Drosophila melanogaster: one gene and its partner. The protein of the gene in region 1 interacts with the protein of each later gene in a pairwise test. Each region holds a gene or a part of one and is shown on either strand. Other genes may lie near its edges. The genes, in order: CG9706 and CG13245.

Evidence for each region.
Region 2: the proteins of CG9706 (region 1) and CG13245 interact in a two-hybrid assay, tested with the Drosophila melanogaster proteins (one large-scale study listed by BioGRID).

Annotation. Positions count from the first base shown.
Region 1 is NT_037436.4:16,780,739-16,784,665, reverse strand, and holds the start of CG9706 (uncharacterized protein), read right to left. Parts: upstream 1,657-3,927; 5' UTR 1,421-1,656; intron 1,411-1,420; exon of another isoform or gene 1,359-1,410; 5' UTR 1,358-1,358; coding exon 1-1,357. Other genes in the region: CG9705 (uncharacterized protein), read right to left, coding at 2,828-3,002, 3,081-3,203, 3,876-3,927.
Region 2 is NT_033779.5:16,002,179-16,006,024, forward strand, and holds CG13245 (uncharacterized protein), read left to right. Parts: upstream 1-2,146; 5' UTR 2,147-2,515; coding exon of another isoform or gene 2,516-2,677; 5' UTR 2,678-2,837; intron 2,838-2,909; 5' UTR 2,910-2,931; coding exon 2,932-3,174; 3' UTR 3,175-3,283; downstream 3,284-3,846. Other genes in the region: CG34167 (uncharacterized protein), read right to left, coding at 883-1,266; CG43816 (uncharacterized protein), read left to right, coding at 2,516-2,677; CG31820 (uncharacterized protein), read right to left, coding at 3,728-3,846.

The DNA of each region.
Region 1 (3,927 bases):
ACTGCTTCCAGGTGAGCACGTCCACCAACCACAACACCACTGTGTTGGGCCAATTACCGCCCAGATTGCACAATGTGTTCAAAAATGTCATGTAAGTGCCACCGACGGCTGGATCGGAGATCTTGGCGAAAAAGGCCATGGCGGCCACAAACATGGAGTACAGGAATACTTGGTAGATGGCATAACTGGTGATCAGCAGGACGTAGTAATAAGCAGGCACGGCTCCTCCACGGACAATATAGGGTGTGATGTAGGCCAAGCCAGTGGCCACTGTTGCCATGATGATGCGATAGGGAATGGCCTTCAGATAGACGTCCATCGGACGTGGTCCGTTCGTATATCGACCGACCGCCAGCGGCAGAATGAGCTGCAGAGGAATTAGGGGAATGGCGAGTAAAGCCAGCTTATCCTTCGGTACACCAGCGTCAATGAGTTTTAAGCTGGTCACTGCATCAGAGGCTGCGAACGTGACCTTCACGGTGAGCAGAATTACAGCCAGAATTTGGACGGGACGCATGCACACCATGTCCCACAATATCTTGTAGCTCTCATGGATGTTCAACTCGTGCTCCTCCGTGTAGCGAGCGTCCATATGCGCGTCTTCGATGTCGTTCTCCTTCTTGAAAATTGCCACCAAAGTAGTGGCTACCACAAATGTAATGCCCCAGAACCAAAGGAAACGGGGCAATGTGATCATGCCATCCTCGAGTGGCACGTCTCTTATGTAGGTGTTGCAGAAATCCTTGGACTCCAGGGCAATGAACACCACATAGCCCAAGAAGTAGCCAGCTGTTTGGCCCACGCTATTGCAGGTGGATGCGTATCCAACATTGCATCGCTTCAGCATGGTCAAGGCCCAGCCATCCACGGCGATGTCCTGAGTGGCAGCCAGGAAGTTAAGCAGGAAGAAGAGCAGCGTCAGGAGCGGCACATTGGGATCGACACCGTTCCCGCCCAGCCAGCGATCCACGTGGAGGGAGAGGAGTAACATAAAGGCTCCCAGAAGGTATTGCACTGGGACTAGCCACGATTTCCGGCGTCCAAATCGCCGGATGTACAGGGAATCCACAATTGGAGCCCACAGCAGCTTTAAGCTGAATGGCCAGTAGGCGAATGAAAACTCCGCCTGTTGTTTGTAGCTAGCTCCTCTATTTTGCAGCAACATTGGTATGGCTGCTATGAGCCCGATGGGAATGCCCTGTAGAACGTACAGGAACAGCAGTATGGCTATATTCCTCCGGTCTCCACGAATATCTGGTTTCTGGTGCTCCGCCACCTTTTCCGACTTTGGTGGCTCGTCGATGAGCAACTCCTGGTCGGCATTGCTGCCCGTTGGCTTTCTCCTTATGGCGGACATGCTGATCAAATAGCGATAGGTATATATTATAAAGACATGCTAGTTTGGGGGCCACAGGCTCACCTGTTTTTCTAATCACCAACAAATAACACCACGTCACTCAAATGTAGAGCTTTTTACGTATTTTCCCGATACAATTCCCTCGATGCCTTTAATTTGGTTAAATGTACGATCGAATGGCTTTCTGAATATCTGCCAGTTCGGTCTTTAATTAATTCATTTTCCGTTGAATCGGAATATTTTCTTTCGTGGCATATGTTTGTTGACGTTCCAATATATTTTTATAGCAACTCTCTGTCGCACTACGCATGCAGTTGCTATAAACCGCCGCATGGTCACACTAATCATTCGAAATTCAAACTGAGTGGCGGGAGACTTACGAAATGGAAATCCATAATTTTAGGAGTATGAGTTGGTTTGGCTATTTATGGCTCTACTTGATAAATTTAGCGGGCGGAAATCTTTAGGTATCTATTGTGGCAAAAAGGTTGGTTTTTTTTTATTGAATATGTTACGGTTTCGATTTTCTGCAGAACGCAGGAAATATATTTTCAATAGTGAGCCAAAAATTCATGTATGCTTTGGGCTGCAAAAAGTATCTGCTTTCACTGCAGATAAGATACACCACTAAATTAAATACAAGTTACAGCTGCGGCTAAAACAATATTTTGCCATGTTATGAATATCGTGATATTACAATCAGACATTAGCTAATATCTAAAATGAACATTTAGATGCCGTAATAAAAACGTAAGATTAATAATTTTGCATAAAATTTTATTAGAACACATACAAGCAAGCGGCTATTATGCTGACCGCAATTGTGCGTACAATACACACTCCATGCTGATAACTCCCACGCCACTCCAGAAAAATCACCGATGGAATTGTTTTGCAGCTGTTTTAATAATAAAGTGAATTACTGAGAGCATTTTGCTTGTTTGCTTCGCGAACACATTCAGATGTTTTGTTATAATTAAAAGTAATTACTGATACAGGGCACCACAGCATCGCAGGCGCTGTGCTAGTGGCTTCTCGAATAACAATTTCAATTTCCAAATACATACGCGCTTTTAATAATATACTCGAAACTGGTTGCGGTTGCTCTCCCCTCTTCCAGAGGGAAAGGCAATATTTGTGACTGCGTTTTGTTTGACTTCCATAGCTTAGCTTAAATTCTAATTAAGTGTTCAATTGAAACTCTTGTGATGCTGCTCGCTGGCTGGCTGGATGGCAGGCCTGTTGTTCCATTCTATTACGTTCTGGTCTGGTTTCGGCTTTTTCCTGGCTGCTTCGATTGCTGTGCTTTCGTTTACTTTCATGGTTATTGTTCTGTTCCGGTTTTCCGTTTCGTTCATCTCGGGTGGCGTGCTCTAGCTCAATTAAATTTCTTGGAAGGCCGTTCAGCTTTTAACAACACACTTTTCCGCTTCCGAGCTTCGAAATCTCCCAGGGCCACAAGCTTCAGCTTTACTTAGCGGGCGAGGAGCCACCATAGAATGGCTCCTCCCACTTGTGGTGCACCTCCGGCGTCAGGTGGCTAATCTGCACGTGCACGGCCTGGTGCTTCTCATACTTGGGCGGAATGGCGCACAGACGGTATTTGACCTCGTCCCCGGGCATGGGCACATATTCACCTTCGATGCTGTGGGAAGATTACATTTTTGTAGGTCTTACAGAGCCAGCGCAAAGGTCGCCGCGCATGCAATATTCATTCACTTACTCGGAAACGTGGCAAAAAACGTCCTCTCCGCCGGCGTTGGGTGTAATGAAGCCGTGTCCTTTGGTGCGGCTGAAGGATTTCACCATACCGGTCACAACCGGATTTTCCAAGGCCCGAGCGGAGCTATGTTTTTTCAGCGTTATTTTGAGTTTGCGCGTGTTTGCGTTTTGGCAGCGTTTGGGAAAAGAATTAAGCAGGAAGAGACAAGTTAATCAATGGAGGATGCGCATGGGGATATGAGGGGGAAGAATTTAAGTACGTGGATTATGTTCGAAAGGGTTCCGAGAGCTTATAAATTCGGCAGCGACTGATTTCTGAATGTATGTATGTATGTACAATGAAATAATTGAAAAAGTATGGGGTTTACAAATTTAAACTTTCAAAAAAAATGGTCCTTACGGTTATAAAAATATTTATAAGTATATACACATAAAAATAAATATATTAAATGTAAATGTGGAACCAATAAAGTGTTCCATGTTCGATTACTAATTACTGTTTGTTTCATTATGTTTGCTCATCTAATTCAACAAATGCAGTTTAAAACATTATAGAAAGCTTTTGCTTTAGAAATTACAAGCTTCCATGCTATTCTTTTACTATTTCAAAAGGTTGTATTTGGTTTTCATACAAAAGAGCGAACCTTGTGAAATAATGTGAACTTTCGGCGCCTATTTGGCCCCATAAAGGCTCTGCATAGGGGCCAAGTTCCCCTTGGGGTCAAGTGTGTGTGGGGCCAGTAGTGGGTGGGTGGTTTTGCTGGTTGGGTGGGCAGGGCAGTGCAGGAGGACTTACGTCGAGGCCGTGCGAGTGCGCCTCGTGATGATGGGACTGGGCAGCTGCAGCG
Region 2 (3,846 bases), on another chromosome or scaffold:
GTTAATTTGTTGCATAGATTTGGTTCAGACCTACGCCACTGAAAAAAGGCCATCAGTTAGAATTATGAAGAAAATTTTGCAGGCGCACAAAAGGCACGGCTTGGAGTTGAAGTTTCTAAAATATTGCGTGTAAATATATTGGAAAAAATTATTTATTCCCATTGAAAAGTGGTCTGTAGCCAATAACTAGACTAAGAAATATCATGCTAATTGAAAATTTTTATCAGACCATTTGCGTTTTTGTTTTTGAGCTTCCTTATCAAAACTAATGTATTGGTTTGTGAACCAAATTACATTGAGGTTTAATTAAAAAAGAAATTTATGGCTAGGAGCGCGTCAATTTGTTTTCAACTGTGGCAGTTTTTAAACGAAAATATTTTGGTGACTGGAACCGTTGTCAAAAAGTTCGTTCAATTGACCTGTCTTCGCTATTCAAGCGTGGCTAAAAAATACAACCGAATAGCTGAACAAAAACTGTCAGATCCATGACCTACATAAGTACGTCGTGTAACCAAATAGATTGGAAGGTTTTCGAACGAATATTTTGTTTTTCCCCTGCATTCGCTTCGTATGCAAAACCAAAACAAGCAGCTTTCAGATTTTGACCATTTTTCCATTGTTTTGCTAGTCTCTCGAATGGAAACTTTTGCCTGCCCATTTCATTCGTTTTTTGCGGGCTAGCTAACAAAAGTTCGAATGTTAAATGATTTTCATGGCGCAAACTTTGGCAACCCTGAAACTGGACCCCGGTCATTTGTTAGCCTGTCAGAAAGGCAACAAAAATGGGCGCAAATATGCAAGTCTGGCTGACACGTGAATTTATTGCATTCAAAAATATGAAAAGTTCCAATAAAAAGTGCAACAACAGGGTACTACAGGGTATTAGTACAGCGGGCCAAAGCAGCCCCATTCCCAGCAATTTTTGCATTTGTTCGGCACAAAATAGAAAGGTGGCGCACAACCGCCGCTGCAACATCCGCAGTTGCAGGTGCATTTCATGCAGGGCAGCAGGGGACCCACGGGGCCGTAGGTCAAGCGGTACGAGACCACGGCACAGGGCGGTGGGCCACAGCATCCGCCACTGGATCCACCACATGAACCGCCACATGATCCGCCGCAGGATCCGCCGCAGCATCCTCCTGTACCGCCCCTGCAACAGGAACCACCAACACAGCAGGATCCACAGCAGCCACCTCCGCCGCAGGGCTTACAACCAGACCCACAGGATCCAAACTGCGGTCGGCATCGCGGTGCAGCACAACTCATCCTAGAAATTACTTAGCCCTTTGCAACCTGTTGCTAAGTACTTGCCGCTAAAAAAAATGCTAAATACTCCGGGGCAGTGATGGACAGTCAGCTCACAGCTCCAGGCGCCTATTTAGCACCTTTTTTGTCCGCCAATAGTCACAAGTCCACTGGGAAAATTTTATAATTCCTGTCGAATAAAAACTCTTGCAGTTTCCTCAAGTATTTACTGGAAAAGTGACACCAAAGGCAAGGATACATGCGGTTGAAAACATTTTAAATTAGAATCGTATCGAATAAACATATATTGGAGACTAAGTAATTCCATGTATAATTTGCAATTTATATGGTAACTTAACGATTTTTCTTCCTATAAAAGTCTATAAAAGTACTTTTATTCCATCACTCTATTTTTGTCACCAAAACATTGCAATTAAAATTACATCTCAATTACACATCCTGCCTTGCGGTACCATTTAAAACCGACGTATGGTCGCTAGGAATATCCAACCAGAACCACCACGCTTCGTCGAACCCATGTCCTCTCAGTTACATTTGCACAGTTGACCATGCGTGGGTTTGTCTACTAGATCCTCACATGCAGACACCCTCTTACATGGCCTCTGGTCCGTCGGGAGATATTGTAATTGATTGTCTCCGCCTGGATGAATAGGAGTTGGATTGAAGTATCATGGACCGGAGTGGCAAAAACTTTCATCACGGTTCGTTATTCGGCGGATAGAAATTTGCATCGCCAACGGTCCGAGTTAAAACTCGTGGTAGAAGTAATAGAATTATGAAGTTGTTCTGAACAGTATGCAATCTCGTACTTTATTTTGTAACGCTTACTTGATTGGTTGTGTCACAGAGAACACCAATAGAGTAATTTAATTTATATATTCCCACAACATGCCATAATATGGTATATATGATTGAAGATCCCGGCTAAGGGCTTCCAAAATGTAGTTCACTTCAGCATCAGGGTGCCATCCACTCTCTCGTTCCGATTTAGCCAGCTTTCATTTTAGGCCAGATATCCAAAGCGTAGTCTAACCCGAGGGCGGCGTCGATGAGATTGTCAATAGCTGTCAGAGCGAAAAATCGCCTTTGCTCCCTGGGAAACCCAATCCACTTCAGTTCCTTTTCCACTTCGGCACCAAACACTCGATTTTGTGTCTGCTCCAGGGCCAATAACTATACACCCCACCCAAAAAAAAAAAAAACAATAGTAAAAAGAGCACACGTTTCGGAAAACCTAAACCAAGTCAAGATGTGTGGTGGCTGGGCCTGTGCCTCCTACAATATCGCCTGCTGCAATCCCCGCCTGTCGACACTGCGATTCTCTGGCCGCTGTTTCGCACCCACGCCCTGCGGTCCATGTGATGACTGTTCCATTTACGGCGGTTGCTGCGGTGGCTGCTGCGGGTGCTAGGTGATCTCTGACCTGGAGTAGCCACAGAGTTGGGTGGAGAGTCCGGAATTCAACTATCTTGAAGTAGGCCTTGGGAACTGTTGGCTGTCAGCCATGAAACAAATATCATTCAGTCCCAGTCCAGTCCTTGTCGGAACAACAACCTTAAACGTTCACCGGGGTAAGTTTCATTTATGCTTTTATAAAATTTTATTTAAAAATTTTATTTTTAATCATTCACATTTCCATATAGTTCCCACATCCGTTTCCTAACCATGTGTGGTGGCTGGGCTTGTGCCTCCTTTGACCTGGCCTGCAATAATCCTCCCTTGTCAACACTGCGTTTCACCGGTCGGGACTTTATACCCACGCCCTGCGGTCCTTGCGATAAGTGTTATGTTCTAGATACTAGCCGCAAGAAGAACACCAACAACTGCTATGTTCCGCACATCCTGTCTCCACTGGATGCGCAGCTCTGCACACTGGCGAGTACTCAGAAAAAAAAGGAAGACGAATAAACGCCAGGAGGAAATGCGGTCTTATACTACTAAAATTATCAGTGTAGATCTTCTTGTACCAGCCATTTCCATGGGAAACCAATAAAAATTTGAGGGACTAATACTGACTAAGTAAGTTTGTTCCTTAGTTAGAGATCTTGTACCTACGCTGTCGCGCCTAATTATTTTCATATTTTTCCTATCGGTATCCTGGTCCTGGTAAAACTGTCGACAATTTTAGTATATTTTTTTTTAAAGGAATATTAAATTTGAGCCATACAATTTCAAGAACCATTAGAGAAAGAATTATACCTCATGGTATACTTAGGATACTCAATCCTAGTAAGATTGTGCTATCTAGGATTTTGGTATATTTTCTTATTTTTCATATACGTATCAATGGAATATGAAATTTCTCAAGAAATTTGACAAATAGTAAATAAGAAGTTACTTGTTTAAGTACATTAATTTATTGAAAAGCTCGAACCATTGTGTAAGTGAAAATGTGGTTCAAACCAAAAGCACAAAAAAATTTCACGTCGTTTTCTTCAGGAATTGTCGTACCTTGGGTTTCTCAGTAAAAAGGCCCAAAGCAACCCCATTCGCCGGCACAACAGCACCTGTTAGGAGGACATGTCCAGGGACCACAGGGAGGATTGGGTCCACAGCAGCAGTTATTATAGTTCATGGCTG